Linked DNA regions of Mus musculus: all the other regions are reported to be linked to region 2. Evidence: microRNA targets listed by miRTarBase, many of them from high-throughput screens and not tested one by one. Region 2 holds a microRNA gene; each other region holds the end of a gene's coding sequence.

Region 1 (7,452 bases), not on the chromosome of region 2:
TGTCTGTGATTTTGGGCATAGCAACCACCTTTTTAGATCTGAATTATCTCTTTTGTAAAAGAGAAAGACTGAGCCAGGTGGTAAATATTCAGAGTCCTCTGTGATGTGAGCGGCTGTGTTGGCTTGGGATTGTTGAATCCGGTTGTCAGCGCGTGTGCTGCTCCCATCGTGTCGGAGGGTTGTCTCCAGATCGGAGGCCCTGCTGCTCCTCAGTAACTCTTTTTTTTTTTTTTTTCCTTTCAGAATATTTTCCAGATGGCGAGGTCACAGCAGAGGGATGTGGCCACCTAGCCTTTCCTCATCCCTTTATCTTCTCTTTGCCCTCAGCCTCTTAGCCTTTTCGTCTCCCATGTCAGACAGTAACCATTAACACAAAAGAAGAAAAAAAGGAAAAAAAAGTCACTATGTCCCAAAGTCCTAAGCTAAATATTATTAATAACTTCCTGAGAATTTCCCGTCTCTGGAACTGAGCTGGTAGAGAGCAGGTTGATAGTACCAGAAGTCCACTGAGATCAGACACACAAGCCCAGCCAACACGCCAAAGTCATCTTTGTCGTTTGACCCGGGCCTCATACCAACAGACTCTCCTTGTACTATATTTTTAAAACTGGAACTATGAACTCCATCCATTTGCACTGTTCAAGCATATATATGTATGTATGTATGTAAAAATTATATATACACAAATTAGCTGCACGTATATACATATATATATTTCTTTTTAAATTTCATATTGATGGCAGTACCTTTTTTAGCTTGTGTTTTTACACACCTTTCACAGAATTCATGACCTCTCTCTTGCTCTCTTTATTTTGAAACAAACTTTAAAAAGGAAAAAAAAATACAGGGAAAATACCTCTCCTCATGAAGGACTCGAAAAGTTTACAACCTGCTTGGGTTTTCTTCCCTTTTTTGTATTGAGTACAGTTTCTGGCTGTTGGTTTGCCATAGAGTCTGAGGATCGAGGAGTGTAGTGTCTTTATCTTCAAGAGGGTGCTGAGGAGGAGAAAGGCCGTTTCTCAAGAGCAGTTGAGGCTGCAGGGAGTCTAAAGACCTAGAGTCTCGATTCCAAGTCATTTTCCAAGCCATGGTCCATCGATCGACGTTGAGTCCGTCCTCCATCTCCTTCCTGTTTCTTTAGGGTCTTTTATTATGCTCCCTTTTAACTGACCCAAAACAGTTCAGGGTAATCTGAGGAAGCTGTTATAGTAGGAAACTTTTTCTTCTGCAACAGGGGTTGTATCAGGACTAACCCTGACATCAGAGGTTGGACAGATGGAGGAAAGGGAGGATGGAAGCTGTGCCTCAGATTTATAAGGGCCTTACCTCTTCCATTCCTGTCCAGTAACCATCTATTTTACATCCTCTGTGAGTTCTTTAAACAGCTGTACGTGGAAGGAGTGTCTTGGGTAAACTTAGAGTCTGGGTTGCTGCCAACCAAATCAGAGCCCTGTTCATGACAGCTGAGGGCCCAAGAAGTGGGAGTATGGTCAATTTTAGTTCACCACCACCATTTACTTCAAAGGAGACTGAAGAGAAATCTCTTAAAGAGTTCTTTACCTGGAGCTGGGGCTGGTCCCGAGGCTGAGGCTGGGGCCGGGAGTGTTTGCCTAGCCTGCATAAAGCCCTCAATTCCATCCCCAGCACCACATAAAATTTGGGTGTTGGGGTATTGTAGCACACACCTGTAATCTCAGCACGTGGGAGGGGAATGCAGGAAACTCAGAATTTTCAAGTCCACCTCTGCTAACTAATGAGTTCAAGGCTATCCTGGATCACATATCTCAAAAGTAGAAGAGTTCCTTACCTGCCCCTGCACTTAGACCTCCTAGGACCTAAAAGCAACATTTGGGACAGAGGCCAGGCTGGCACTAGAGTAATAGTCTCAAACCTTGAGTGTAAAGAACTCTGAGGTTAGGTACAACTAAAACACGTCTTTGAAACTCTTTATCTACTTTTCCTTCGATATTGAAGCCTCCACAGGCTTCGTCTTTGGCTTTATGTAGCTGAAAGGCAGCCAGAATTGGATGTAGTTGGCAGTGTTGGATTTGGTTTAAAGTTTCTTTCATGCCTTGGTTTTGCAGAGCATTCATTATGAGGCTACTTTTCTGTCTCCATTATTCTGGCAGCCACTTGTCGCAGGAAGGTGTAAACACACCTTTTAGGATAGTCTTTCCCTCCCCTGTCCAAACCCGTGGGACCACAAAGTACAAAATATAGTAGTGTTTAAAGTTGAAAAGGGCAATACCTGATTTGGAGGCTTTAATCAGGATCAACTCTCCCTCTTGGCTTTACTAATGAGTCTGAGTACCTTAAGAGGGGGCGAGTTGATTTCCTCTCCAAGATGCTCTGGAGGCCAGCTGTGTTCAAACTGTAAAAAGAGCAACATTGCAGCTAATTCCCTCAGGAAGAGAGCCTTCCAGAATAGGGACAGGGCTTTGGAAGTCCTGAAGAGTCAGCCCCACTGTGTTGGGGTTAACAGAATCTGTAGGAACACCCTGCTTTAGGTAGTCTTCCTACCAGAACACCCAGCTGCAGCAGGGAGCTGGGAAGAAGCAGCTCCCAGGGTCTCCCAGTGGAGCTGCAGTCCTGGAAGAGGAGGTCACGGTGGCCTAGAGGCCCACAGAGGCCCACAGGATCAAGTTCTTTTGCATGAAGCAGTGTTAGATGTAACTACTCCCTCCCCCAAACCCCTACCCTTCCTTTCTCTAATCCCTTCTATGTTTCTTAGACCTGGCTTCTGCCCAGGAAGGCATCTACAGGTTTTTTGGGCAGTTTGTCTCTGGGGAAGGGACTTCCCCTCCCAGCTTCACTCCAGCAGAATCTTCCTGGTCTCCAACTGTTCTTTCCTCCACGAGGAGTTTCTGTTCTCTGATACTAAAACTCAAGAGATCTTTACGGAGCAGGAAACTACTTAGTCCCTGAGAAGCCAGGTGCTCTAGGAAGCTTTGCTTGGGCAGTGCTTTGAGCTTGCCGCTCTTTGTACTTTTATTCCGGTCTTCGTCTCTCCGCCTTCCCCTTGCCCTTGCGGAGGCCTCAGCTCAGCACAGCTACAGTCAGTGTTCAGGGCAGTTCCCAGGCCTTGACAGAGCTCTCAGGGAGGAACAAGGTAAATGCTCTAGCATCCTCTTGCCTGGCCCATTTAATTTTATCCTTTAGTTACCTGGGCCAGTAGCTTTGAATTATCCCTTCATTGCTCCAAACCCGATGCCTGAAGCAGCAAAATAGGGCACTGATAAGAGGGAGCACCTCTCTCATCTCAGAGTTTCCAGCTTAAGGGCCAGCTCCTAGAAAGCAGTCTTCTTAAAGGGACCTACATGCATTTGCGTTTAGCTGAAGTCTCCAGGAATGGAGGTCCTTTCTGCCCTCCTTTCCATTCTGCTGGCTTCAGCACACTGCTGCTCCTTCACCAGTTGGATGGGTTGCTTTAACTTCTTTTTGGAGGAGCAGCAGTGTGGCTGAATACTTAGCGCCAGCGGGAGGGAGAACGCTTCTTTAGTCCTCCGTCTTGGATTCTTCTTCCTCTAACCCTCAGCATATCTGCCAGGGCTCCTTTCCCTGGATAGCAGCAGCTTCTTTCTCAGCAGTAACTGAGGGTGCATGGAAATCGGGCTCTGGGGAGGAGCGACACCAGAGGGACTGATCCTGGTAGGAGCACTTGGTTAGCTGCTGACCATGGGTGCCAACTTGTTATTATGCCCCCTTGTAAGCTGCTGAGCTGGGCTTCAGTTTTTCCCAGGCCATGCACACTTATAATTTATTTGAGAGAAACTAATTGTATTTTCACTGCAGTATCTTGTACTTTTATTTGTGATTTACAAAATGTGAAGAGAAAGTGCAGAGACCCACTGGCTCCAGTGTTTCTCCAACCCTGCTCTAGAGCTAACCACTCTAAGATTGTTTGGTAATGTTACTTAGTGTAATTAATTGTAACATATTCTTTTAAATAAATTGATTTATTGATGAAACAATTCTTTGGTTTCCTAGACTACAAATCCTTTGGGTTATGTGGGAAGAAGTAAAGAGGGGCCTTTGACAGTTGAGTTGGAGCAGCTAGTCTGAAAATGAGAGGGGCCGTCTAACTGCTTTTCCCAGCTAACCCGGGGAAACAGAGTCAGGGGAGGAAGGAAGGAGCTGCTCTTTCCCCATGGCTCCCTCGGAAATCCCACCTGCTTCCTCACTTCTCAGTTGTTGCGCTCTCCTTTGCAAAGTCTTGTGACTATTCACAAGACTCCTTCACCAGCCAAGCACAGGCAAAACCTGGCAGAGCTTTTGGGACATGGTATGTCCCACCTGACCCCCAGAATATGTGTATCTCATTTATAAGTAACTAGGGAAATATTTTATATCTCCCCTAATGAGTGCCTAAACAATACCATGTAGTCTGGGGGTTGTGATCTTCCTCTGATCATGTGCCTGAGAATAAAAGTGGCCTTGCTGTCCTTGGTCTTACACAGAGAACCCAGGTACCAGGCCACCTCCTTACTCAGAAGAGAGTCTGCTCTCCAAAAAGCCCAGCATTGTAGTGGGTCAGACATTTCCATTTTGTGTGAATCATCATTTCATTTCTTGGTATTTTCATAGCCCTTTACCACATGCTTTGGTCCTTAGTTGACCCTAAGAACAAGGACCACCAAGTTTGACACATTTTGTTTGGATTTGGGTCAAGACATTTTTCACAGTCTCATTCACCTAGTACTTGGAATCTAATAAATACTGATCACTAGATATGTTTAAAAAAAAACTCTTTAATAAAGAACCATAAAAAGGGTAGAATTATAGAGGCTGAAGTAACAGCATTAGTAAATCTATGGGACACTGCCTGTGAAATCGCAGATACAGGAATGCTCACAGCCTCACAGGGGAGACAGGCCCATGAAACACAAGGTTTCAGTGCTCTAGGGATATCATAAAAGACCCAGGTATGATGGTATATGCGTATAACCCCAGTACAGGACACAGGAGGTTTAGGAGTTCAGGGCCGGCTTCAGCTACATAGCAAGTTCAGGGCCAGCCTGGGCCACATAAGACCCTGTTCTCAAAAGCATGGGGAAGGGCAAGATGGTCCAGTAGGTAAAGATGCTTGCTGCCAAGGCTGACAACCTGAGTTAGAATCCTAGGCCCCACATGGTGGAAAGAGAAAACTGATTTCACACAAGTTATCCTCTGCACACATGTGAGTTGTATTGCACGCACATATACATTAAATATAATAAATCGTAAGATTTACAGATGATAAAGGGAAATCTTAAAGTGCTATGTAATGTAAATGATTTAACACGAGCAAGATTTCATCAAGCAGGTATCGAGCAGTATTGGCCATTATGTACAAGACCACTGCAGCATGCAGAGTGAAGAAGCGTGGGGTAAGAAAAAACCAGACTTGTCCAGAGCACAGTGAATAGTTCTGTGTCAGCGGAATATAGGGCATGTTCAAGAATGCAGGAGGAGGTAAGGATTCTCCCAGTCCCTTGTTTTTATAGTGTGTGTGTTCGAATATGTGTGTCACAGTAAACGTAGGTTAAAGAACAATTTGTGGGAGTTGATTCTCCTTCCAGCATGTGGAAGAGGGAATGAATTAGGAGACTGGTATAATTATTATGTTAAGAAGCAGACACAGTAATAACTGAAAGAAGAAATAGACATAAGGAGAAATTATAGAAACAGAATCTTGTGATTTAACGACACCGAATTTACGTGAAATGGGTGAAGGGCTCCCAAGCTCTGTGTGACTAGAGAATCAAACTATTTTAGGAGTTGAGCCAGGCCAGGTGGATGTGCTATAATGCCAGCATTCAGGATGTAATTGTAGGATAACCAGGAATCCAAGATCATGTGTGACTATGTAGCAGGTTTGAAGCCCGACTGGGCTGCATGGGATTCTATTTCAAAAAATAAAGTGGAAGAGGGCAGTACTTAGAAGGCAGAGAGGCAAGTAGAGTCCAAGCCAGCCTGATCTACAGAGTTCCAGGACAACCAGGGCTACACAGAAAAACCCTGTCTCGAAATGCCAAAAATCAAAGAAAACCAAATAAAGTATCCTAGAGAGATGCCTATTGGTTAGGAGCTCTGTCCGATCTTGCAGAGGACCCAGGTTCAGTTCCCACCACCCACACAGCAGCTCACAGGCACCTCCAACTCAAGCTCCGGGGATCCAACCTCCTTGCTGGTTTCTTTGGGCATCAGGCAAATAAATATGCAGCCCCCAAATATACATGTAGACACTCACACATAAACATCTTAAAGCTGGCCATGGTGGCACAAGCCTTTAATCCCAACAGGTAGGGAGCAGAGATAGTGGTATCTTTAAGTTTGAGGTTAGGGTGGTCTGCAGAGTTAGTTCCAGGACAGCCAGGGCTACACAGAGAAACTTGGTCTTGAAATATCAAAAATAAATAAATCTTAACCAAAAAAGAAAAGCAAAAAGCCCCAAGACTTTGGAGGGAACATGTTTTAGTATTCGACTACTCAGATTTACACACAGTGGAAAATCCAGTATAGATAGCTAGGAGTCACTTTTTAAAAAAACGTGGGGGTATTTTTGCCTTCTTGCACAGGTATGTGCACCACATGCATGCCTAGTGCAGTGGAGCCCCTGGAACTGGAGTTACAGTATTGAGCTGCTGTGTGGTGGTAGGAATTGAAGCAGCCAGTGCTTTTAACTGCTGAGCCACCTTCTGCTCCAGGAGTCATTTCTTTTTAGAGATTTTTTTTTTATGTGTGTGCATATATATGAGTTGGAATCCTCTGGTACTAGAGTTAGAGTTGTGTCCTCTGCAAGCATGGTAAACGCTTTTAACTGATAAACCATCTCTCCAGCCCCACTGGTCATTTCATCATTGTTTACTAACTAGCTCCTAGTGTTGAGTACCTATTTAGAGTACTAGCAGTGAACAAGGCAGTTGTCATTCAGATTTGGCCGTGAGTGGGTATATGTGGTAGTGTTTACTAATAGGAAAACTAAGAGAAAAGGTAGCAACTTGTTCTTCCTGAGCAGATGAAAGGACCCAGTCCACGGAGGGAGGAGATCTTGCATTTGGCAAGAGGAAGCTGACTCTGGGAGAAGTACAGTGAACCCTGTGTAGGTGCACAGCTGCCATCCCAGAACATGGGAAGTGGGGACAGGAAGAACGGGAGTTCAAGTCCATTCCAGAAATTGTCCTCCAACTGCCACCGCACGTGCCGGACATGCTCATTGCCACACATGCATGTGTGTGTGCACATTAAATGAGGCTGAGACCGGTGGTGGTTGTGCACGCCTTTAATCCCAAACACTCCAGAGACAGGTGGATCTGAGTTTGAGGCCAGCCTAGTCTATAGAGAGTCCCTGAACTGCTAGAACTATGCAGAGAAACCCTGTCTAGAAAAACCTAAATAAATTAATAAGTAATAAAACAGAGGGTGAAAAGTGAGAAAGCTTTCCTAAGAACCAGAATGTCCTAAGAACCAGGG
Region 2 (7,486 bases):
GAGGCGGATCATCAGCGCTGAGGGACCAGTCTTTCCTGTGACTGCCACCAGCGAACGAAACTTTTGTATGATACATAAAGTGTTTTGGGTCTATTTTTAATAAAAAGGGGAAAAGCAACTGTGAGGTGGTTGTCCTGGCTTTCCTTCCTTAGGTGCGGACCTTGTACTGTCCTCCGTATGCACACAAGCAAGGAAGGGTCACCCCACCCCTTTTAAACCAGTAGGAGGCAGCAGTTGCTTTGTTTGTGGCAAGATCCTCCTCCACCTGTTTCACAAGCGGTAAGCATCCAGGTGAACCAAGAGGCGTGGGTTTTGTGAGCTTGTCCAAAGGGAAGGAATATCTAAGTGTCTTCAGTCCCCTGGGCCCTCCCCAGTGAGGCTACTTTTTATCAGATTCAGGATGTGCAACTAGGGTAAACTTACTCCACAGTTTAGTGTTTTCTTGTGTATCAATTATTTGGAGGAGGAGGGTGTCCTAAGATGTCTTAATTCATGGATACCCTTGAGGCTAAAATGAAAATCTATGGGGCGGGATGCTGCTGGCAGTTGATCTAAAGTATAGCATCAACAGAAAAGTGTGATGTGAGGAACATGGCTGGAGTGCACTGATGTGAAATTGGAGAGGCCCAGCCCCTATAGAGCAAGACTATATTTATGGTAAAAAGCCATTTGTTACATTGTAGGTGTGTATTAATTGCCAGGCGTTGTTCTGAACTCTGGGGATGCGTGGAGAGCAAGCCAGCCATGGGCAGACTTTTTGGAACTCTGAATCTAGTGGCCAGAAAGAACCTAATTAATCCCAACAGAAGATAATATGGGCTCTAGTCCAGACTAGCTCCCTAGACCTGAGGTGTCAGGGATGGCTTCCCAGAAGAGAGACCATGTTGGAAAGATGGGCAGAAAAAGGACAAGATGAGAGAGAATTTCAGACAGAACTGTGTGGTGTGGCACAAGCTGGGCTCATTTGAGGAAACTTTTTTTTTTTTTGAGGCTGGAACAGAAGTGCAAGAGGATGAGACATGAGATTAAAATGGGAGAAAGGGGAAGAGCTGTAAACCTCAGAGGATTGGGACTGCATCTCAAGGACACTGGGAAAGCATGGGCAAACTACTGTTATTCTGAAATAGTCTTATGTAGCCTAGGCTGGCCTTCTAACTTGCGGTATGACTTTCTAATCCTACCTCCAGTTTCTAATTACTTATTATTTCTGAGATTATAGGCGTGTTCTGCCGCATCTGGCCCGTGGATCCCTTGTGTTTGGGATCAAGCTCAGTACTTTCTCATGCTGTGCAAGGGAGGGAGGGTTGCCATAGTTTCACTACTTAGCTCTGGCTTGCCTGAAACTTCCTATAAAGATCATGCGAATCTTGAACTCAGTTTTACCTCCCTCTTCAGTACCGGGATTAAAGGTGTGCACCACTCTACCCAGGGAGGCTCAGATTACTTAGACTGAAGTAATGGATTTAGAGCTATCTGTAGTGTGACTACACTGTCACTGTCTTCAGACACACCAGAAGAGGGCATCCGATCCCTTTATAGATAGTTGTGAACCACCCTGTGGTTGCTGGGAATTGAACTCAGGACCTCTGCAAGAGCATAGCTGTGCTTTTAACCGCTGAGCCATCTCTCCAGCCTAGAGCCACCTGTGCTGTTAGCATCAGAATCGAGAGACTGTAGAAAGGACAAAGAACCAGCAGACACAGAAGGGCCAACAAGCCAGAAGCCTGAGTGCTGGGACCATAGGAGTGTCTGACCCACAGTGTCTTCTTTCCTTAAATTCTAGTAGGTACCCAATTCCATCCTTTGGCCCCACTTGCTGCATCAGAGCAAGCTTTAAAATCTGCTCAAGGAGAGCCCTGTGAAAGACAGAAAAGTCAATGGTGTGGTTGTGGAGCACGAGAAGACTCTGGGCACCACTTAAGATTCTAACTAGTGCTGACCGAATCCTGGGTGACCAGGCCTTCAAGAACCATCACAAGCAAGTGAGTGGTCAGGAGAGTGTCATGCTGAAAACTGAGTGAAGAGGAGACCTCCTTCCTACATGGAAGATGCAAGGAAGAGCCGTAGAGGACAGGAGGGACACCGAAGCCCCTTTGCCTAGGCATCTGTCCTTTCTTGTTAGCCCCTTTCCTTTTCAGTGCACCCTATCCCCAGAGGCCTTCTGTGGGCCTCACAAATTTTCTCCCATACTTCACCATCTGCCCATCCCAAGCTTCACCTGAAAACTCAGACCTTCATTTAAGGAGCTGCCCCTTGGCGGGGCAGGGGTGTGGGGGGTGTGGCGGCGGAGTTTATTCTTAAAAGCTGAAGACTTCAGATGATATCCTCACATAACCAGCAGGTGGCATCAAAACCATTCACCCCCTCAGTTCAAATCTCTCTGGACAGGTCTACAAAAATGGGTGCCTTCCTGTTGGGCTCAGGATAGAGCAGTTAACTTAGGAGCTCTACAGCCTTAGCTTCCTCATCTAAGGGAGGGCTCCATATATCCAAATTGCCAGCAGAGTAGCTGACTGGTGCTCAGGTGGGAGAAAATGCAGTGATGCTGAGGAGGCTGCCGGCACTGGGTAGTACTACAAGGCCGATGCCCTTTTAACATTGCACTGCTCGGTACACGTTAGACAGTAGCACAATGTGAAAAGAGCTCCGGCCAGCAGCAAAGGCATGCCGGCCCGCCTCCTCACCCTTTCTCCCAGTCCCTGGCCACACTCAGCTCACGTCACGGCCTTCCTCTCGTCCCTCGTCCTCATTTCCTTCCCAGCAAAGATCACCTTTTTCTTGAGGGGTGGTGGTGCAGAGCCAAGTGAGACCGCCTGTGGGAGTCCCATCATTTGACACTTCTCAAAGGAAATAACTGGTTGTGTTGTGGTGGTGGTGGTAGTAGGGGAGGTTGCTCTCTGCCTGCAACCTTTCAGGCAGAGCCTTTCACTCATCTCCAGACTAATGCTAACTTCTTAATTTTTGAAAAGAAAAAAAAAAAAAGAAAGAAAGAAACCTTGGAGGTCTCAAGGTGATGATCTCAGGTGACCTCCAGGTCTAGAATAATGGAACCTAACTACAGGTGCTTAGGCAGGAGAAAGAAGCTCCCAGATCTGGAGGTGCAAGCAACTGAAACCCCACTGTTTCCTTTCTGATGTCTTCAAAGTACTCTATGGATATGGTATTAAGCGAAATGGCCAGTGATTTGGCTCTTGAGTTAAGGATAAGCTCTCATTGACACTGGGCTTAGAAGCCACCGGTTCCTGTCTATCCCAAGGGTTTAGTAGTGGAGTCTTCACACTCATTTCCATGACCCCAGGCCATCCCCCTTAATTTCATTGAGGACAATAGAGACTGATAAAATTCCAAAGCCAGGTGCACTTGAAACCCAAGGCTCAGAGCCATGCAGGCCTCTAGAGTCACACAGCAGCTAAGCATACTGGTCAGAAGCCAGTTACAGCTCTAACCTAAGGGACAGAGACTGCAAGGCTCCTCCCTGTGGAGATCCATTCAGACCATGGAGTAGCCTCAGGGAGACCACCCCCCACCCCCATTGCAACAAGCAGGAAAAATGGAGGCCTGAATTTCATTTGGGAGCTCTTCCTCTGTGCTTCCCCCTCCAGCCTCCTCCCACCCTCTCAGGAAGCAGGAGAGTGTCTTTCCCGCCTTCCCAGGCAGTTTATTCTTGTAATCAGCAAACACTGGGCCCTGCCCCACAGTTTGCACAGTTCTAATGGACAGAAACCAAGGCCCAGCTTGGGTCAGTCGCCAGGCCTCTCTGCTCCTGGAGTTGGGCAAGCCAGTTGGGAACAGGACCAGACCAACATGGGGCAGAGGGACAAAGACAAGACTACCCAGTAAGCTTCACGGTAGCCAAAGAAGATTCTTCATCAAGGAGTTCCCAGATCTTTCCTTAGGGAGCGAAGGGATACGCAGCTGAGACACCGAGTCCCTTGGAGCTCACGTGCCTAACTCATTCCTGAGGGGAGACCAGCAATTCAACAGCCAGCAGGACCCCTCCCCCACCTTGGGCCTAGGAGCCATCCCCCAGCTCCTTCCAGAAGCGGGTGTAGAAACAGAGGAGGAAATGGGGGAGGGGAGGGCCTGGCTCAAGTTCTCTCCACTCCCCCTCCTCATTGGCCACCATCTTCCGGCCCCAGCCCGCCAGAGCAGCAGGAATGGGGCCCAGCCTGTGGAAAGGAGAGAAAGGGCAGGTGGGGGGTTAGCTGGAGCAGCAGGGGCAAGGGACTGGCTCCAACTGTCTCCTCTTGCAATCCCCCCTCCTCCCGCAACCATGGCGACGGGAGGAGGAGAGCAGGAGGGTCCTGAAAGCCCTGTTCTGTGAATGGGATAAGAGGGGCAGCTGGGAAGTGTGGGGTGAGGGGCACTTTCCCTCGACACCCAACTGTGCCCCCCGCCACACCTCGAGGCTGGACCACACGCGCTCGCACGCACACGCACAAACTCTCTGCCATACTTGCTGCACAACTCACCCCACAGTCGACACTCACCCCAACTGGAGGGTGGAGGCACGGCTCCCCGCGTCCTCGCACCCCACCGCTACTAGCTAAAGCCAGCCTCACACCCCTACAAGCAAGTGGGGCTCACCTTACAAGTTCTGAACGTGACCAATTCCCTGCAATGCTCTAGCGGCTCTTGGAACACACCCTCCAAGTCCCCTGCGTCCCCACACCCTCCCAAGCCCAGGGACAGGCAGATGGCTCAGGCTCAGAACCCCCCACCCATTCCCACCACGCCCCCCCATTGGAAATTGACAGTGAGGCCACCTCCGAAAGACATGCCTGGTGCTCCCCAGTTAGTGTTTCAAAAGGAAAAATATAAAAGATGCCTACGAGTGAGGGGGGGAGGGCAGAGGAGAGAAAAAGGCCAGAGCACCCCCTCCCCTCGTCGAGAGAAGAAAACCGAAAAGCGCCGAGCTCCCAATACCTACACATCGCTCTTCTTAGGTTCCTCTGCCCGCCACCTCCTTCTTCCCGGGCTCTTTCTCTGCTTTTCCCTCCCTTTTGGCTCTCTTTTCTGGCCTCGCTCCCCTTCTCACGCCCTCTCGTATCCCGCTAGCCTCTCTTCCCCCGCCAGGCTCGAGTCCTCGCCGGCCGCCCCTCTACCCGCCGGCCAGGACCGAGGCTCCAGGATAAGCTGGCTGCGGCGCTCCTCTCCTCTACAGATCTGGCTCTTCCCCCCGCGCCCCCTTTCTCCTTCCACACTCCCTGCCGTCCATCTTGAATACTTGGGATTCTTGAATGGAGTGAGCAGGATCCGCTCCCCCAGGCTCTCATTGGCTGTGTGTTAACCCTTTTGAAACGAGATCCTCCCTCCCATTGGCTGCCAGGCTCCCCTCTTCTCCCCCAACCCCCATCCTCTCCGCCTCTCGACAGCCCTCGAGGTCAGGGCGCTCCCCGGCGCCCCCTCCCCTGGCCTCTCGCCTCCTGTTCCCTACTCCTACCCCATTTTAGGATGCCCCTCTTCCAGCTTTTTTCCATCGCCCTCCCCCCCTACACACACACACACACACACACACACACACACACACACACACAACCCCAGGTGAAGGCAAATGCAATTCCCGCCAAATGTAACTTGCGGCTGGGCTGGCAGAAGCCCTGTTCCCAGATGCCCCGGGTGCTGGACTTGGAGATCTCTGAAAATGTATCTGGTCAATTTCCTGCCTATATTCAACTCTCCCTCTGACCAGAAGTACTTCTCTAGCCGGAATTTTCTCAGCGTTTTAGCCTCACCCAAAGCAGTTCGGGCGCCTCCTGAATACATGCGGCCCCTGGGTTGGGCAGGAAACTGGCAACTCCAGAAAGAAGAGGTGGGGCTGTTCAGAAGAGCTAATCCCTAGTGCCGCAGGGCAAGCCTGACCCGATCAGGAATGCGGCGCATCTGAAGCCCTGTTCAGTCACAAACATCCCTCTAAACCAGCCTTGCCCCCACCCCCATCATCAGCACCCCTACCTAGTCCAAACTGACTTTCTTGCACCTTGGATCTTGGTCTTGGAGCTGGAGGATCCTAGAGTCTCAGGAGGAAGGCGAAAATGGGGGCGATATATCAGGAAATAGAATAGCTTGTATCTATATCTGCCTGTAACAGGCATGCATCAGTCATGATCCTTCCATAGGCCTCAGTCTTCTCAACTGCAAAAGAGTGAGCCAAAACAGAGCTGCCATGTGGAATTTTCTGGGTACAAAAGGAAATGGTTCTATATGTGTGTCATCTAAGATGGTAGCTACCAGATACATAAAGCGATTAAGCACTTGAAATCTGGCTAGAGCAGAGGAACTGCCTTTCAAATTTAGTTTAATATCACTTTAAATTTTATCAGTATATGTTAATTGTATATTGAGTTTATGACTTTTTGTTGTTTGTGTGCTTTTTATTTTGTGTTGTTTTGTTTTGAGACAGGGTGTCACAACCTTGGATTTGCTATAAAACCAAGACTGGCCCTTTTCATACAATGGCTACTTTGCTGTATATATATATATGTAATATGCTGTATATATATATATGTAATATGTATACATATATATATATATATATATGTAATATGTATACATATTACATTATTGCATATATTACCCTGGTGAAAACAGAATATTTTTGGATGTGTTGTTTGGGGGGGGTTCTTGAGACAAGATCTTGCTAGGTAGTACAAATCCACCCCAAATTTACAACAGTCAGGCCTCTTCACTAAGCCTCCCCCGAATGGTGTGATTACCACCTAACATGTGTCAACACACCTTGTCCCCTCATCCTTTAGTAAAGCAATCCCTTTATTTTATCAAAAGCTGTGTAGTTTTTCAGACCCACATCAGACATCACCAGGGGCATCATTACATGGGAAAGGAAATTCAACATTCTTGTCCAGACATCATTCTGTATAGATGCTAGTTTGTTTGTTTTTTGTTTTTTTGAGACAGGGTTTCTCTGTGTAGCCCTGGCTGTCCTGGAACTCACTTTGTAGACCAGGCTGGTCTCAAACTCAGAATCTGCCTGCCTCTGCCTCCTGAGTGCTGGGATTAAGGCTGTGAGCCACCATGCCCGGCTTTGTTTGTTTTTTTAATGTTGCTGTTTAATATGCAAGGTATGTGGGGGACATGCATGGAGGTCAGACGACAACTAAGATTGGTTTTGTCCTTCCACCATGAAGAAACTGTTTTTTTTTTTTTTAACAAGGCTAAAAACCAAGATGTTGCTGGGCTTGGTTGCAACAATCCTGTAGCCTCAGCATTTAGGAGACAAAAGCCTGAAGGTAGGAATTTAAGGTCATTCTTAGCTACTTGAAGCCTGCCTAGACCATATGCAAATCTTCTTTTCAACAGCCAAAAGTAAGATATTGTTAGGGGTGGAGAAGGGCACAGGCAATATGAGTATTTATTCATGATTTAATATGCACCAATAAACCAGTCATATCTTTATGTATTCAAACACATTATTACGTTTATTCAATATGTGTTTTTTAACCAAGCCCATATGGGAGCTGGTGTA
Region 3 (7,486 bases), not on the chromosome of region 2:
GAAAGACCTCCCTACTGGTCCCAGCCTTTATAGATGATGCCCCCCTTAAATTCATTGAACACATAAAGTTCATTGGTTCTAAGGATTATATTCATCCCCCCTTTAGGTGATAGGAATTCAGTGGCAAACAGGCACATACTGTTCTTCACAGAGTTTACCTAACATCTCAGTCTGACCAATATTTAGCATGACTATAGCTGGCCTTTGGAGTCACCCACAGTGCCTCACAAGTGGGCACTTTGTGGTTGCTGGGCAACCAGTAGATGGTTTTACCAGACCCCCTACAAACCTGGTATTTGGTAGAATGCTTTGAACGATGTAAGGAATTTATATTTGTCTCAGTAGCTTCTGCCCAGGGTCTGTGTATGGCCAGTGCAGCTGTGGCTGCAGTTAGCACACAGAGTATCTCTGTAAGGCGAGAGGCTGGTAAACAAACTCTCAGGTTTTTTTCTTCTTATCTAGCCTATGAGTGTCTGTGTTGAATAAAACACTCAAGGGGGCCTAAGGAGATAGCTCAGTTGGTAAAGTTCTTTCCACGAAAACAGAAGGACTTGAGTTTGATCCCCAGACCCATGTTTAAGGAGTATAAGCCAAGCAGTGGTGGCGCATGTCTTTAATCCCAGCACTTGGGAGGTAGAGGCAGGCAGATTTCTGAGTTCCAGGCCAGCCTGGTCTACAAAGTGAGTTCCAGGACAGCAAGGGCTATACAGAGAAACCTTCTCTCTCTCTCTCTCTCTCTCTCTCTCTCTCTCTCTCTCTCTCTCTCACACACACACACACACACACACACACACACACACACACACACGGCAGAGTGTGGAGGCATGTACTTGTAACCTCTGCACCCACTGGGGAGGCAGAGATAGAATCTGCAAAGCTTGCTGACCACCAGATGATCTCCAGGCCATTAGACACATCCTCCACTCCCAGGTGTGTCGGGGGTGGCTGCAATTACAGTATTCTGTCAAGAAGCTAGCATTTCTCAGTGCTTCTCCCAGCCTCTGGCTCTTATGTCCCCCGACACCCCCCACCCCACCCCCATCTCTCCCATGAGGCTTCCTGAGCCTTCAGGAGGGGGTTTAATACAGATATCCTGCTTAGGGCTGAGAACTCAGTCCTTATTCTCAACACTTTGACCTTCAGGTCATTGGTAGTAGGGGTATGACCACTATTAAGTTTCCCGTGTTCCAATGGATGGCCCCACACCTGTGCACATAAAGAGAGTAAGAACCACGTGTTTTTAGTGGGTTATCCTTGAAGAACTCACACCCAAGGTTGAGCTCCAGCCTCTGTACATACACGGTTTTCTGTGCACACATACACATGTACGTGCACATGTGAACACCACGTATGAACTGTTTTCTCATGTTTCCTTCCCTTTTCCTCCCTCTACTTCTGTTTCCACAGGTCAGTGTCGAAGTCTTGGTAGAGTATCCTTTTTTTGTATTTGGACAGGGCTGGTCATCCTGCTGTCCTGAGCGGACCAGCCAGCTCTTTGATCTGCCGTGTTCCAAACTCTCTGTTGGGGACGTCTGCATCTCGCTCACCCTCAAGAACCTGAAGAATGGCTCTGTTAAAAAGGGCCAGCCTGTGGACCCTGCCAGCGTCCTGCTGAAGCAGGCAAAGACCGACAGCCTGGCTGGCAGCAGACACAGATACGCGGAGCAGGAAAACGGAATCAACCAGGGAAGCGCCCAGGTGCTCTCTGAGAATGGCGAACTGAAGTTTCCAGAAAAAATAGGATTGCCTGCAGCACCCTTCCTCAGCAAAATAGAACCGAGCAAACCCACAGCCACGAGGAAGAGGAGGTGGTCGGCGCCGGAGACCCGTAAACTGGAGAAGTCGGAGGACGAGCCACCTTTGACTCTTCCCAAGCCTTCGCTCATTCCTCAGGAGGTTAAGATCTGCATCGAAGGCCGATCTAACGTGGGCAAGTAGAGACCTTGCGGGCAGCGGAGGCCCGGGGCCTCCTTTTACTGTCTGTATCCAGATTACTGTACTGTAGGCTAAGTAACACAGTATTTACATGTTACATCCTCTTTAGGTTTGTATTCTAACCTTGTCATTAGAGTCAAACAGGTGTGTCGCAGGAGACTGGTGCGTTTGCATTGTCTGCAAGGGTCTGTTGAGGAGCTGGTGGGTGGAGGATGGTCAGAACCATGTCCATGGAGCTCCCGGGCATCCTTAGTGGCCCTGAATGTGGCTTCATCAGCCCCTGCCTTCTCCGGCAGTGTGCAGAGTCGAGGGGCATCAGTTCCCACTGGTTTCAAGAACAAACACAGTGGGAAGTATCCTGCAAGGGAGTGTCTGGGTGCGTGTCCCTTGTGAAGGAGTGCGAGTGAGGGTGTCTCTTTCTCTGCCTCTGTCTCCCTCACTTGCTCCCTCTCAGTGTGGGGTTGGGGGACCTGGGTTTCCCACCTGCAAAGTCATCAGGGAACCCAGCTTCCAGGCATTGTAGGGAGACATCAGACAGGCAGATGGGAAACTAGTTTCAAAGAACGTGGTTCTCTCCAACATATTTTACAATAAAAAGCAACTTTTAATCATAGATATATAGATATATATATATATTTCCCCCCATGGGGCCTGACTGCACTGAGGTTTTTTTGTTTTATTTTGTTTTGTTGGGTTTTTGTTTTTGTTCTTTTTTTTTTTTTTTTTTTTTTTTTTTTTAAGAGCAGCTGCCACTTGCAGGATTTCATTTCTGCTTTACCCGGTCCAGTCCAGTGACATCATCAGTCGTCATGGTGGGCAGGGAAAGTCCTTGCTCAGGTCACTCCTGGTCAGGCAGGTAGCAGTGGGGCGGGAGGGACGGAGGGAGCACCCACACTGGTTTCTGTGCAGTGTTAGGAAAAGCAATCAGGTTACTTGCGTTGGCTTCCAAGAAGGAAAATGCAAGCCCCGCTTCCCGCGAGAGCCAGCTTCTCCCAGCTGTGCCGGCAGCATCTTTTCTGTATTTTAGGTCTAGTACTGTTCATGACTATGGACAACTCGGGTGCCGCTTTTTTTTTTTCTTTCTTTCTTTTTTCCTCAATCCCAGTGTGACATGAGGAGTTAGATCTGGAAGATGCTCCTCTGTTACTTTATCTCGCAAACAGCTAAAAATGCTGTGCAGGCTTCTTAACCAAGCATCTTGGTCTGTCATTCAACAAGTACTGTATCTCACTTTCGACTCTTTTTGGGAAAAGAAAAGGAAAAAAAAAATGACAAACCTAAGTTGCTTTTGTTTTTGTTTTTGTTTTTTCTTCTCAACACTGTAACTACACTTCAGCTCTGCTCACAAGCCAGCAATCGAAAACTCCAATCTGGTTTAAAAGGATGAATGTGAAGTACGAACTAGCCCGTGACAATATATGACTACCGAGTACTACCTGACGGCAGGCACTTGTCACTTTGATGTTGGAGAAAGAGTTAAAGGCATATGCAGAGTTGGCAGAGAAACCGAGACAAGACACAGAGGAAAAGACACTCGGTTGTGTCCAGTGTTTTTAGGACGAACTTCTAAAGAACTTTGCGATTTGCACATCTTGAGTTTATAATTTGTGTGATATTCCTGCAGTTTTTATCTAATAACATTGTGGGAAAGGTTTGGGAGGGTTACAAGAGCATAAATAAATGTAGCAAAATTACTTTCTAACCTGCCTAGACCCTAGGCCCTTCTTAGAAGGTTCTGTCCCCTTTGAGACTTCATTTTGTCATCTACCACATCTGTCACCAGAAGCCAGGTCTGAGGGTCTTCTTCAGCGCCATTGAGAGTTTCCCATATAGACATTTTATATATGTGAGCAAGTATTTTCATTTCTGGAAAAAAAAGTGTTAAATTTTTTTTTAAAAGAAACTTATGTTTCTATTTGAAATCCAACTAGGATCTAATGTTTGGTACAAAACTCCAGAAATGGTATTTTCATAAAGTCACAAGTTTTCATTCCCAGAGGTCAAAATATCATTTGTGGGTTCTGAGTGGGTCTTAAAGTACTTTAACCCTAGTTTTATAAATGGGGAGAAGTTTTTAAACATTCTTTCTTGGCTACAACCTAAGTAAGTACTTATTTGACGTTTCTTTTTAGCAATTTAAAAAGAAAAGATTTCTTCCATTTCTCAAAATAGAAAAAAAAAAAAACCAAAAAGACCCTCCCCTGGCAACCCACATACATGTTGGCTATCCAGTCTCCATTCACAGTGGCTTTTGTTGGGACTAATGATCTTTTTCCAGACCATTTTCTGGGATGTACCAAACACCTTTGAGTAGGTCCGGAATAGCTGGCCTCTCCCTAAACTTCATCGCCCTCTCCGCCCGCTGGCAGAGCTGGGTGAGCCCGTTCTTGCAATCAGACGCTTATTTAGTGCTGTGATCCTTTTGTTTTATTTTATTTTTTTTAATCTTTCTGTTCAGAGACCTTGCTTGATCTTCCCTATATCTGCTCAGGGCACTGGCACTTACTAGGTTTTCGGTTTTGTTTTGTTTTGTTTTGTTTTAACCTCCAATGGTGAGAGGACTAGGAGGTTGCCACGGAGGCGCTGTGTGCCAGTTATCTACAACAGCCCCTGTGAGCTCAGAAAACACACACACACACACACACACACACACACAAACACACACTCTGCTCTCTGGCTAACTCCGAGGAGTGAACTGACTGCATCCACTAAGCTGACACTAAAACAGGTAAAAACACACATGGCTCAGAGCAATAGGAATATCATAACTTGTGGTTCTATTTCAGGTATAGGAATTATACAAATCATTGATTCTTCCGAAGCATCCGTCCCATCTCATTCTCTGGCTCCCTTAGCATGTGCAATACTTTGTGTGCCAATAGTGTGCTATCTAGTTAAAGTTCATTCCCTTTTGGCCTTTTCCTTGTTCGGTGGGCTGACCTTTCTTCCCCTCGCTGGCCAGAGAAAGGCTGGAGGAGTGAGCCAGGAGAGGCGAGCCCCTTCCATTTCTCCTTAACACCGATGGATGCAGAGTGCTAGGGTAGGCAGCCTATGGGAGCCTGTGTGTGTCTGTCACCAGGACACAGTGAGAGCCAGCCAAGGAGACCTGAGGGAAGCACTTTGAAGGTCCGTCACCACACTCTGCAAAGGCCCCTCGCTCTGTAGTGAAGCTGGAATGGAGCCAGGAGGCGGAGTGGCTCCTAGGACGAACTCTGGAGCGGAATGGTCTTCAGTCAACTCATTTTCAGTCTCTTCTGTGTCCTTGAGACTTTGATCCCTGCCTTTGACACAAGCAACTTATTGCATATGTGTGTGTTCTGAGCATGCCCACCAGTGGCTTTGGAGGGCAACCTGGCAACCACAGTCACCATTCCCTTGGGACAGCTTTCTCTTCAAACAGGAAGAACACACAGAGGCAGGAGCCACCTCTTATTTGCAGACATTGGTGGGGTCCTCCAGGCTCCCGGAGCACCTTTGGTCAACTGTGTAGGGAGCACGGTAATAGCAGTGCCCTCATCGGACAAGGATCAGCCACGCGCCTCTGTACCTGTCCTCTTTGCAATATTTACCAACAGCCGACTTTTCCTTCTTCTCTTTCCTGCTTTCCATTTTAAAACAAAGTAACAGCAGGCCTTTTTTGTGTTTACAACGGAACACAATCACCAAGAAATTAGTCAGGGCAAAAAGAAAACATAGTAATATTACTCATAAGAAATCAGCAAACAAGAACCTCTTTCTAGGGATTTCTAAATACACAACAACGTGACTGTTCCTTAGACTGTTTAACTTTAGAATTATTTCAGTTTGTCTGGGCCACCTTGGGGGTCAGTGGGATGGGGTAGGGACTGGGGTGGGGGAAGGCCAGGGATACCACTTACCTCAAATCTTTTTAAAAGTGGAAATCCAAATTGCATTTGGGGGAGGGTGGGGAGGGGGGACTTGCAGGATAATCGTCTATGTTGGTCACATTTTGCTTTTCTCGATTCATCCAACTCAGTTTGGGATGGCCTGATGTTTGTGGTGGTGGCAACAGAACGTCCTTAACTCTGAACCCCAACCTTGTATGTTTTCTGTTAGGTGAGCTTGTTGGGTTCCTCCCCACCCCCTTACCCCATAAGGAAGTGGCAGCGTCCTTTCTCCCTTGCAAGGAACCCTGCAGAACCTTCCACACCTCTTACTCAGGGATGGGGCTGGTGTGTGTGTGTGGAACACAGATGTGTTCAGCAACAGCACTTTGGACTGCTCTGGAGTAGGGTTGTACAATTTCAAGGAATGTTTGGATCTCCCCGCACAGTGTGGATTGCTCCTTAGCTACTGCACAGATTGCAATATAATGCTGCACGTTCAAGACGAGCAGTAGCTCCTCATAATCAGAAGAAAAAAAATATATCCACTCTTTGCACATAGTTTGATCTTTACTGAAATATGTTGCCAAAATCTGTTTTTGTTCTAGCTTTGTATCTTTTCATTTCTTTCTTTCTCTCTCTCTCTCTTTTTTCTTTTAAGGAAACAATTGATAATACCTTGTAACATCTGTGACTACTAAGGAAACCTATTTTGTAGATGCTTTTGAAGACACTAACACCTATTTCAGACACGGGTGAGGAGGCAGAGCTCTTGGGATAGAAAGCCAGACTTTGTAAGTTGAGTTGGCATGGCAACTGTTTCCTGAGCCACAAGACCCTCAACCAACTGGTCTGCTCTCTCTCTCGAGAGCCCTTCGCTCCTCATTTCCCAGTCACCCCCTTTGACTCCAGGGGAATACAGGGCCTCCAGTCTCCGGGTCCTATCCAGTTTCTTTAGTGGTTGAGATGAACGGCAAGAGAATCATATTTTGTTGTTTTAAAAGTGGAGCAAAGGCCTTTGCATCCACAGTTGTGTTTTGATGCCAGGATTTCCGAAATAGAAAATTTAAGGAAAAATCGAGTAATAACTATAGAGAATTTACTTTTCTTTTAATAAAGCACATGCGTATGACCTGTTGAGTTGGGTTGGTTTTCTCCCTGTCCATGAACAGTGTTGTATTTCTGTTCCTAAGGCAACTCGAAACAGTTTGCACACCTCTACTCTGGAGCTGGGATTTCTTTCATAGATGACCTCGCTTCAAATGTTACCTTACTGATAGGCTTTTTCTTGTAGCGCTATACCTTGTGGGAAGTTTTTTTGTTTTGTTTTGTTTTTTTCTTTAAAGTACACCCAATTTGAGCAGCTGGGGGGTGGGGGAGGGAGGGTTGAGACACTCACTTTGGGGGTGGGTGGGTTACAGATAATTTTTTTTTAAAAAAATTGCACAAAAGAAAAATGAATGTTGAAATGATTCATTCAGTGTTTGAAAGAGACAGATCTGTTGAAACTATGAGTTTCATATTTTGTGTGTAAAAAAAACAAAAAAACAAAACAAAAAAAACAAAACAGAGGAGGGGTTTGAAAGTTACATGTTTGGGGGTTTATTTTTCCTGTATATAGCAATTTGTTGTCTTGATCATCAAATTTGTATGGTTATGGCCTGGAAGAATTATGATGTCAGAGGCTCTTCAACTATACCGTACCT
Region 4 (7,486 bases), not on the chromosome of region 2:
CTACCAGAAACCAGAAGGGAAGAAGCAGCAAAAGAAAACCAGAGAGACAGACAGTGAGAAAGAGAGAAGGAGACAGGGAGGGAAGGAGGAGGGAGAGATGGGGGACTGTGGGATAAACTCTGATGTAAAAAAATATCAAATGACAGTCTTAAAGACCAGTCCCCATCAAAACCAAAACCAAAACAATGAAACAAACAAAAAAAATCCCCAACCCAACAACAATAACAACAAAAAACAAATCATGGGAGAAAATGTTTTCCTTTGCAAATACCTCATGATATGGTTGTTATAGAGCTTGAAGCACACGAGGATAGAGATTTGGGAAGGTGAAAGACAGTAGTTTTGAGATGGAGTTTGCATATTCTTGTGGGCTGACTGAATACAGAACAGCGTGACTAGAAAGTTGGATCCTGCGCTCTTGGACTGTTGGGAAAGGAAAAAAGGAAGCACGGAGGATTGAGGCTGGAGGGCCTGTGGGAGGCCATCCGGATGGTGGGGAGTGAGCCCTGCATAGGCAGTGAGCTTTTAGATGTCATGCCAGGCAGTAAAGAGACAACCTCAGTGGGAAGTGAAGGGCTGGAGGATGGGAGAAGGGCACCAGAGAAGACTTCTGCCCAGGACAGTTTAGAAAAGGAGCTTTGTGGTGGCCAGGAGAGGGGCCAAGGGAGAACATTTATTGGAAAAATGCTGAGAGTTAGACTTGGTGCCTCTGACTTCAGTTCCCAAAGACAAAAATGGGGGGGGGGGAGTCATTTGAGGGACCATCTTTACCAATTGTGTTAATGCCATTTGATGGGAGAGGAAAAAGCAATTCAACATGTCTCAGAATCAAGTCTGGCTTCCAATGCTGACAGCTCTTGGGGCTGTCTGTCTCTACACTCCTGTAGCAAAGCCTTCCTCAAGCACCTTGGCTCAGCTCTTGACCTAAACTGCCTTGGTCGGTGTTGCATTTGCTTCCTGCTTGATGACAACGGAACTACAATTTCCTGCTGCTTTCTGGACAATGAAGCATGAGCAGACCAGAACTTGGTGTACTGACTACTTAATCCTTGGTTGCTGTCACCCTATGCTGCCTCCACAGTGGTTGAGAGCCTTTAAAAACATTTTTTTTCCTCCTGCAAATCTGTTGAGAGTTCCCTACTTTTAGCTTCATTAAACCTAATACAATAAAATACCTTCAAAAGTACAGCACACCTCTGACGTCCATTTGTAATGGTTCTTCAGTAGACCTACACTTCTCAAGCATAGGCATAGGCTATACCATTGGCAGAAAAATAATTGCATTTAAATACTTTAAAAGTAGAAAAAGAAAAAAAAAAACCCAAACCAACCGAACAAAAAAGAAACGGGAAAGTTTTAAACTTAATCCCGTTCCCACAAGGAGGTGGAGAAGGAAGAAGAAGAAGCAATGCTGTGAACGCTGCCTTTGTAATGAACAATCAGAGATTTCACTAGGCTAATTTGACAGAAATGTTTCCTCATTTAGACAACATTACAAAAGTCCTGCATTATAAAATAGGGTAGAATAAATCAGTGTAATCAATAAAACTATACAACGATACAAATTACATATCTTCTGAGTGGGCAGTTTATTCTCTCTCTTTGCAGTCGAGACTACAACATGCTCACTAAAAACAACTAGAACTGCCCAAACTATTGCTTAGTTTGTTTTGTTTAAAAAAAGGGTGCAATTTTATTGTATATACAACCAATTTACTGGTAATACCTTGGCATTTCGCAAGGTTCTGACAAAATGTTTGTCTAGGCTTTTTTCCCTTCACTGTGAAGCACTGAAAGCTGCTATTTTTTCTTTCTTTTTTTTTCTTTCTCCTTTTTTTTTTTTTTTTTTTTTTTTTTTTTTTTTTTTTTAGTGCACATATGTCATCATAAAGTAATGCTCAGCTAAGTGCTATAGGGAAGGCAAAGTCTGCTGCTGGCTATAGGAAGTGACACCATACACTGACAATCACACCATACAACAGCGCCAAACGACTATACAACCACTTATCAGACACATATGAAAATCCAAAATGTTTTATTTTATTTTTTTTCCTTAAATAGAGATAACCAGTAAACAATTTTCAGAACTTGGAAGTTTAAAAACGTGCATATAAAAATGGGCATTATGTACTTTTTATTGAATGTGGATTGACTGCCGTCTGCTAAGAAAAGTGGGTGTGGGGGTCTGAAGAGAAAGGAAGTTGTCTTTTTTTTTTCTTTTTCTCTTTTTTTAAGGCTTGCTTGTGAAAGGAACAGTTGTAAAAACAAAATTGCTTGAAGCAGGGTCAGCTTAGTGCTTCACAGTTTGGCTGCTTCTCTAAGAGGAGCCCTTCCTGCGCACGTGCATCACAAACCACAGAAAACACAAAGAGAGACACCTAAAACCCACTGCGTCATGTGCAGCACTGACTTTGGTCAAACAAAAAAAAAAAAAAAAAAAAAAAAAAAAAGAAAGAAAGAAAAATTAATACTTGCTAAGCTTTTCTACATGATATAAGCAGGTATTGCATATTTTCATATATCTGGGGGCGGGGGCAGGAATAAAGGGAGACTCCAAATAAATTGAAAAAAAAAATGCAGCGACATCCCAAATACTGACATTGTAAGCATCTACAGAGCTCAGAATAGCACTGCCACTGACCACACAGGACACTCAAGACTACGCCTGTCTGCGGAACAGCTAACTTTCTATTTAGGTCTAGATGTTGAAACTGACGATGGCTGACATAAAGGTTAACATTTACAGAAAGTGTCTCCGAATGCTTGAGTAGGGAAAAAACCCCTTCAATTGAGGAGCATGTGCAACAATTCCACAAATAATCACTATCCAGGGCAAGGCACATTGATATGGAATTTCTGTTTTCGTGCAAATTAAGGAAAAAAATAAAAACAAAACAACATCGTTTAGGGATGGGGGTGGGGTTAGGTGAGGAGCAAAGTGTCTTCCCAGGAATTTCAGTCACTTGATTGTATAGGACAGTAGTTGAGCCCTTCTGAAGGGCTGAGACAGTTTAAAGGCAAGTGCCTAGAGTGGGGTTACAATATTGTCTTAATGCACTCTACTTTATCCTACATTAGCTATATAAAAATTAGTTACTAACACTAGAACATGCAGAGAGACTTCCTCTGGTCGGCAGGCTTTGCCGACCAGAACACATATATATGTATAGTATAGGAAACCGTGACATTGCATGGGAAGCAAGGGTGCTTCGCTGTCTGGTAGAAAAATCACTTGCATTTTTTTTGTTTGTTTGTTTATTTGTTTCTGCTTTTTTTTCCTTTTTTGATTTTTTTTGTCTTTTTTTTTTTGTCTTTTTTTTCCCTTAAACATAAGATACAAGACATCTGGGGGGGGGGGGCGGGGAGGGTGTGAACTTTTTTTTTTTCCCTAACAAGTACTTTGATCTGAATGGGCACACATAGTTGTGTCCTTATCAGTATTCGTGTTATTTTCCCGTAGCCCAGTTCAGGGTTTGCAAAGGGTCTTTGAAACTTCTGGACAATGTCTGGTACAATGAAGCGTTGGATAACCGATAGATCAGGTGTTGCCATACATGTGTAAAATTTTTCAGAATTGGCATAATTCATTATAGTGATTTCTAGCTTATAAAATTAACAGATACCATGATTTCATTTGAGTTATGTGCTTTGATAACAGAAAATAATTAATTAGCATTTAATGTAGTTAACATATTGTGGTAAAAGCACCATTAGATTTGTATTTTTTTTTTGTATTTTTTTTGTTTTTTTAAATTTTCCTTCGGTTTTTTTTTAAAGGGATACAAGTTTAACAATAAAAAACATAAAAAGCAAAAATAGCTCCCCTTTTTCTTGCAAGGCTGTTTTTTACCCCAATAATTTAGAGTCCTGGGGTGGGAGGACTTGAAAAACAAAAATAGAATTTTCAACAATCTCTATCTTACAAAGATACTTAGCTATCCAATGAAATTGCACTTCACTCAATTCAAAATTCGATTGTTTTGATTCCTGTCAGTTTCTGTCAAAACAGACCATCTTCCCCATTTCCATGTGAATTTTTGTGTCATTGTTGAAATTGTTGAAAAATGTTTTTTTTTAAATGTAAGTGCAGCATTTCAAAACTTAAGAACAAAAAAAACAAAAAAAAACAAAAAAAAAAAAAACAAAAAAACAAAAACCCAACCAAACTGATAGTAGTAGTCTTTGCCGTCTTTTTGGAAATTGCTCTGCAACAGGAGCGGATTCACTGTCCTTGCGGGTTGTGTTATGTATGTAACTGCTGACTGCTGAACCAAACCAAATTAAAAGAAAGATCAACTTAACTGCATTTTTTCCCTAATATGTTACAGAAAAAAAAAAACCAAAAAAACAACCCCCCCCCCAAAAAAAACCATTGCCCTTTGAGTGTCCTGTAAGTTACAGATCTCAGCGATTACAGAAGGTTTCATGCTCCAGGTGTCTCCAGATGCTCAGGGAGGGTCACACACCTGCACGGGCAAATTCAGGAAATACTGGGAAAAGGCCAGGCTCCCAAGTGTTACCACAGGAAGTTCACGAGCGAGGCTCATCCTTCACCAACCACTTCACCTACTGCTCACGCCACCACTGAAACACTTCAAATGTCACACAGCCCAACCATTTCCAGCACCATGAGAAATTACGACAGTCCCTAAAGTATTAAAAAAGAAAAAAAAAAAGAAAAAAAGAAAAAAAGAAAAAAAAAAGAATCCCAAAAAGTTATGGCCTTTGCTGTTTGACCACGATGTTTGCTGTTTCCATGTATAAGTTGATTCGAGTTGGTTTCGCTCCCCTTCCACTGACAGTGAAGTTGTAACTGCGCCGGGTTGAGGTTGCGTCCATGTTACAGAGTTGAGAAGGGGTCAGGTGGTCTGTCTGGAGGATGGTGGGATGCTGCAACTTTTATCCCAGGTACCAGGACTGGAAGACAAAAAGAAAAGTCTAATTAAAATGCAGGTGTAGTGCTGGGTGTAGTGGCTCGTGGGTAGCTCTTGGCTAGTATGAGCAAGGCCCACAGTGATCCAGTGCACAAAAACAAAAAGCATTCAATATTGTAAAACTATTTTGAAAGTTGCTCTTTTAACCATGGGATCAGAATTTACCTTGGGAGTTCATGTGGTCGAGGGATGACAGTAAATCCCAAGCCACTGAAATTTATCTTATTCCTCTGACATTAAAATTCATTGCCTTTGTGGGCTTTGCCAATGCTTTGCATATATCTTACCAGGTGCCGTCTTTCTGGTCACATGGCAGGTTTTGTAACCCTGTAGTGAGCCAATTAGAAGAGGGCAAGGAACCTGGCTATCTTATTAGTACCTAGCTTAATGCCTGGGAGGGCTCAAGAAAGACAAGCAAATTCGATGGAGTGGCTGAAGTGTGAGCTTGGGGCTGCAGCAAATAGCTATTTCCATGACTTTCTCAATATATTTCTCAGTGAGGTGTAGGTGCTAAGGACAGGTGCTAAATGTACAAACACAACATTCTGTAGGTGGCCCATGATAGCAGTTAAAACAGAAAGGTCTGGTGGAAAACTCACTGGTGACCTGGGAGGGGGTGGGGGGTGGGAAGTCAGACTGGCCTCTCCCCTTGCTCCTCATGATGGGTGCAAATCCTTTCTTCCCTCCCCTCCTCTCCCCTCCCCTCCCCTCCTCTCCCCTCTTCTCCCCTCCTCTCCCCTCCTCTCCCCTCCCCTCCCCTCTCCTCCCCTCCCCTCCTCTTTCTTTCTCTTTCTCTCTCTCTCTCTCTCTCTCTCTCTTTCTCTCTTTCTCTCTTTCTCTCTTTTTTTCTTTCCGAGACAGGGTTTCTCTGTATAGACCTGGCTGTCCTGGAACTCACTTCATAGACAAGGCTGGCCTTGAACTCAGAAATCCACCTGCCTCTGCCTCCCAAGTGCTGGGATTAAAGGCATTCGCCACCACTGCCCGGCCAGGTGCAAATCCTTTCAATGGCATATATTTAAAATTCTTTTCTTAGAAAAGATACATAATAAAATAAGATGGCACCTTATGAAGCACCATTGTGTTCATGGGGAAATGAAACCACTGTAGTTCTCGTTCATGTTTCTGTCTACTCAATGTGCCCTTGGAGCTTTCTGCCAGCTGTGGAGCCAGTCTTATGTCCCTTTCAGAAACATTCTTTGTCAACACAGAGAGTTCGCTTAACAAAATGAGCAACTATAGACCAATCTCAAAACTCAAGTGAGGCTAAAAATTGTATGACTTTTTTTTTTTTTTTTTGCCAACTTTCTTCTAAGTATTCTGAAGAATTCAGTATTTTCATCAGAAAACCTACCAGCTTCGAGGCTGTGAGTTCTGCATTGAAAACATCACCAGGGTTTGAGTCAGTCGGAACTGATTCCGGAGGTGAGGGCTAAAGCTCACTCTTGTCGGGGAGATTCAATTAGGGGAAAGTCGGGACTCCTTTGATCCCAGGGATAAATAGCTAAGTGATAGCTCCATGGAGGCATGGTGTAAAATTTCCTGGTCACACAAGGTACCTTTGATTTCCAAAGGCGCTTATAACAAAACAAAACAAAACAAAAACTCCTAGCTCAAACCACAAAACTACTCATCCTGTAGACTTTTACTCTCTGACCATGCGCTTCGGAGAACCCAATAAAGCTGCTTATATCTGGAAAAGAAATCACCCTGGCAAGTATGCATGGCCTAAATCTAAGTGGACAAAAGAAAGATCAGTAAGAAGGAAAGGGGAGGGAAGCAGACCGCAAACCGTGTCTGCGTTAAGTTTCTCCTGATCTCTGACGCAGATCCACTTTCCATATCTGCTCTTATACAGAACAGTCTCAAACTGAGTGGTAAGTGCTGTTCCCAATCTGTTTGCATGCTTTCTAAGGCAGTTGTGAAATTCTGGACTTCTTCAGTGTGGCAGTCCTGAAGCAAAGGCCTGGGACCTGGCGAGTCACCAGGGGGAGCAGTTTTCCGTCCCGTAGTTTCTGCATTCAGGACATTACAAAAATCAGCAGTGCCCTGTACATACTTCTGCTAAAAAGCAAAGCAAAGCAAAGCAAAGCAAAGCAAAGCAAAGCAAAGCAAAGCAAAGCAAAGCAAAGCAAAGCAAAGCAAAGCAAAGCAAAGCAAAGCAAAGCAAAGCAAAGCAAAGCAAAGCAAAGAAAAAAAAAGTTTCTTCACACATCTTACTATTCAGTGTGTGCCTCGCCCACAAGGTTACCCCAGAGCAGCTCTGTAACCCTTCACTGAAATAGGCTTTATTGATTGCTCTGGGCTATTGTTCTCTTTTCAAGTCCCCCAAGTTCAAGTTCATCCTGGTGTTACATCATGTCTGGTTGCTCTTAGCAACCAGACAGACCCAGACGTGACTATCATTAGCAAGAAACCCGCCACTCTCCTCCCACCAACCTTCCAGTGGCTCTGACGTAGCAGGCCCACTGCAAACACACTGAAGTATTTATTCTGCCTAATTTATGACCTACCCAGCAAGCTAGACCCCCGCTCCAAAAACCAACACTGTT

Evidence for each region. Region 2 holds the annotated microRNA mmu-miR-130a-3p (CAGUGCAAUGUUAAAAGGGCAU, at 2,585-2,606, opposite strand). A microRNA usually pairs through its seed, bases 2 to 8, with sites in the 3' UTR of a target mRNA and lowers its output. Matches are read on the target gene's strand: a 7mer-m8 pairs with bases 2 to 8, a 7mer-A1 pairs with bases 2 to 7 and ends in A, and an 8mer does both.
Region 1: miRTarBase lists Snx27 as a target of mmu-miR-130a-3p. Seed matches in the 3' UTR shown: 7mer-m8 at 631-637.
Region 3: the mRNA of Atxn1 is a reported target of mmu-miR-130a-3p. The part of its 3' UTR that is shown has no 7-base or 8-base seed match.
Region 4: miRTarBase lists Nfia as a target of mmu-miR-130a-3p. Seed matches in the 3' UTR shown: 7mer-A1 at 1,869-1,875.

What each region holds. Positions count from the first base shown.
Region 1 is chr3:94,494,063-94,501,514 of GRCm38, reverse strand. It overlaps Snx27 (sorting nexin family member 27), which reads left to right. Exons shown (of 12, transcript NM_001082484.2): 12 at 244-3,973. The coding sequence ends at 291. It also overlaps a transcript of Celf3 not described here. Among named protein-coding and RNA genes, the nearest start is that of Celf3, 19 kb to the right of the region's middle.
Region 2 is chr2:84,738,532-84,746,017 of GRCm38, forward strand. It overlaps Mir130a (microRNA 130a), which reads right to left and starts at 2,647; the gene lies at 2,584-2,647. Gm19426 (a long non-coding RNA gene) reads right to left here and starts at 5,871. Exons shown (of 2, transcript XR_104776.5): 1 at 4,931-5,871; 2 at 3,634-4,169. It also overlaps a transcript of Ypel4 not described here.
Region 3 is chr13:45,551,507-45,558,992 of GRCm38, reverse strand. Atxn1 (ataxin 1) reads left to right here. Exons shown (of 8, transcript NM_009124.6): 8 at 1,408-7,486. The coding sequence ends at 1,938. Among named protein-coding and RNA genes, the nearest start is that of Gm34582, 30 kb to the right of the region's middle.
Region 4 is chr4:98,108,649-98,116,134 of GRCm38, reverse strand. Nfia (nuclear factor I/A) reads right to left here. Exons shown (of 11, transcript NM_010905.3): 11 at 1-4,917. The coding sequence ends at 4,900. Among named protein-coding and RNA genes, the nearest start is that of Gm34784, 14 kb to the left of the region's middle.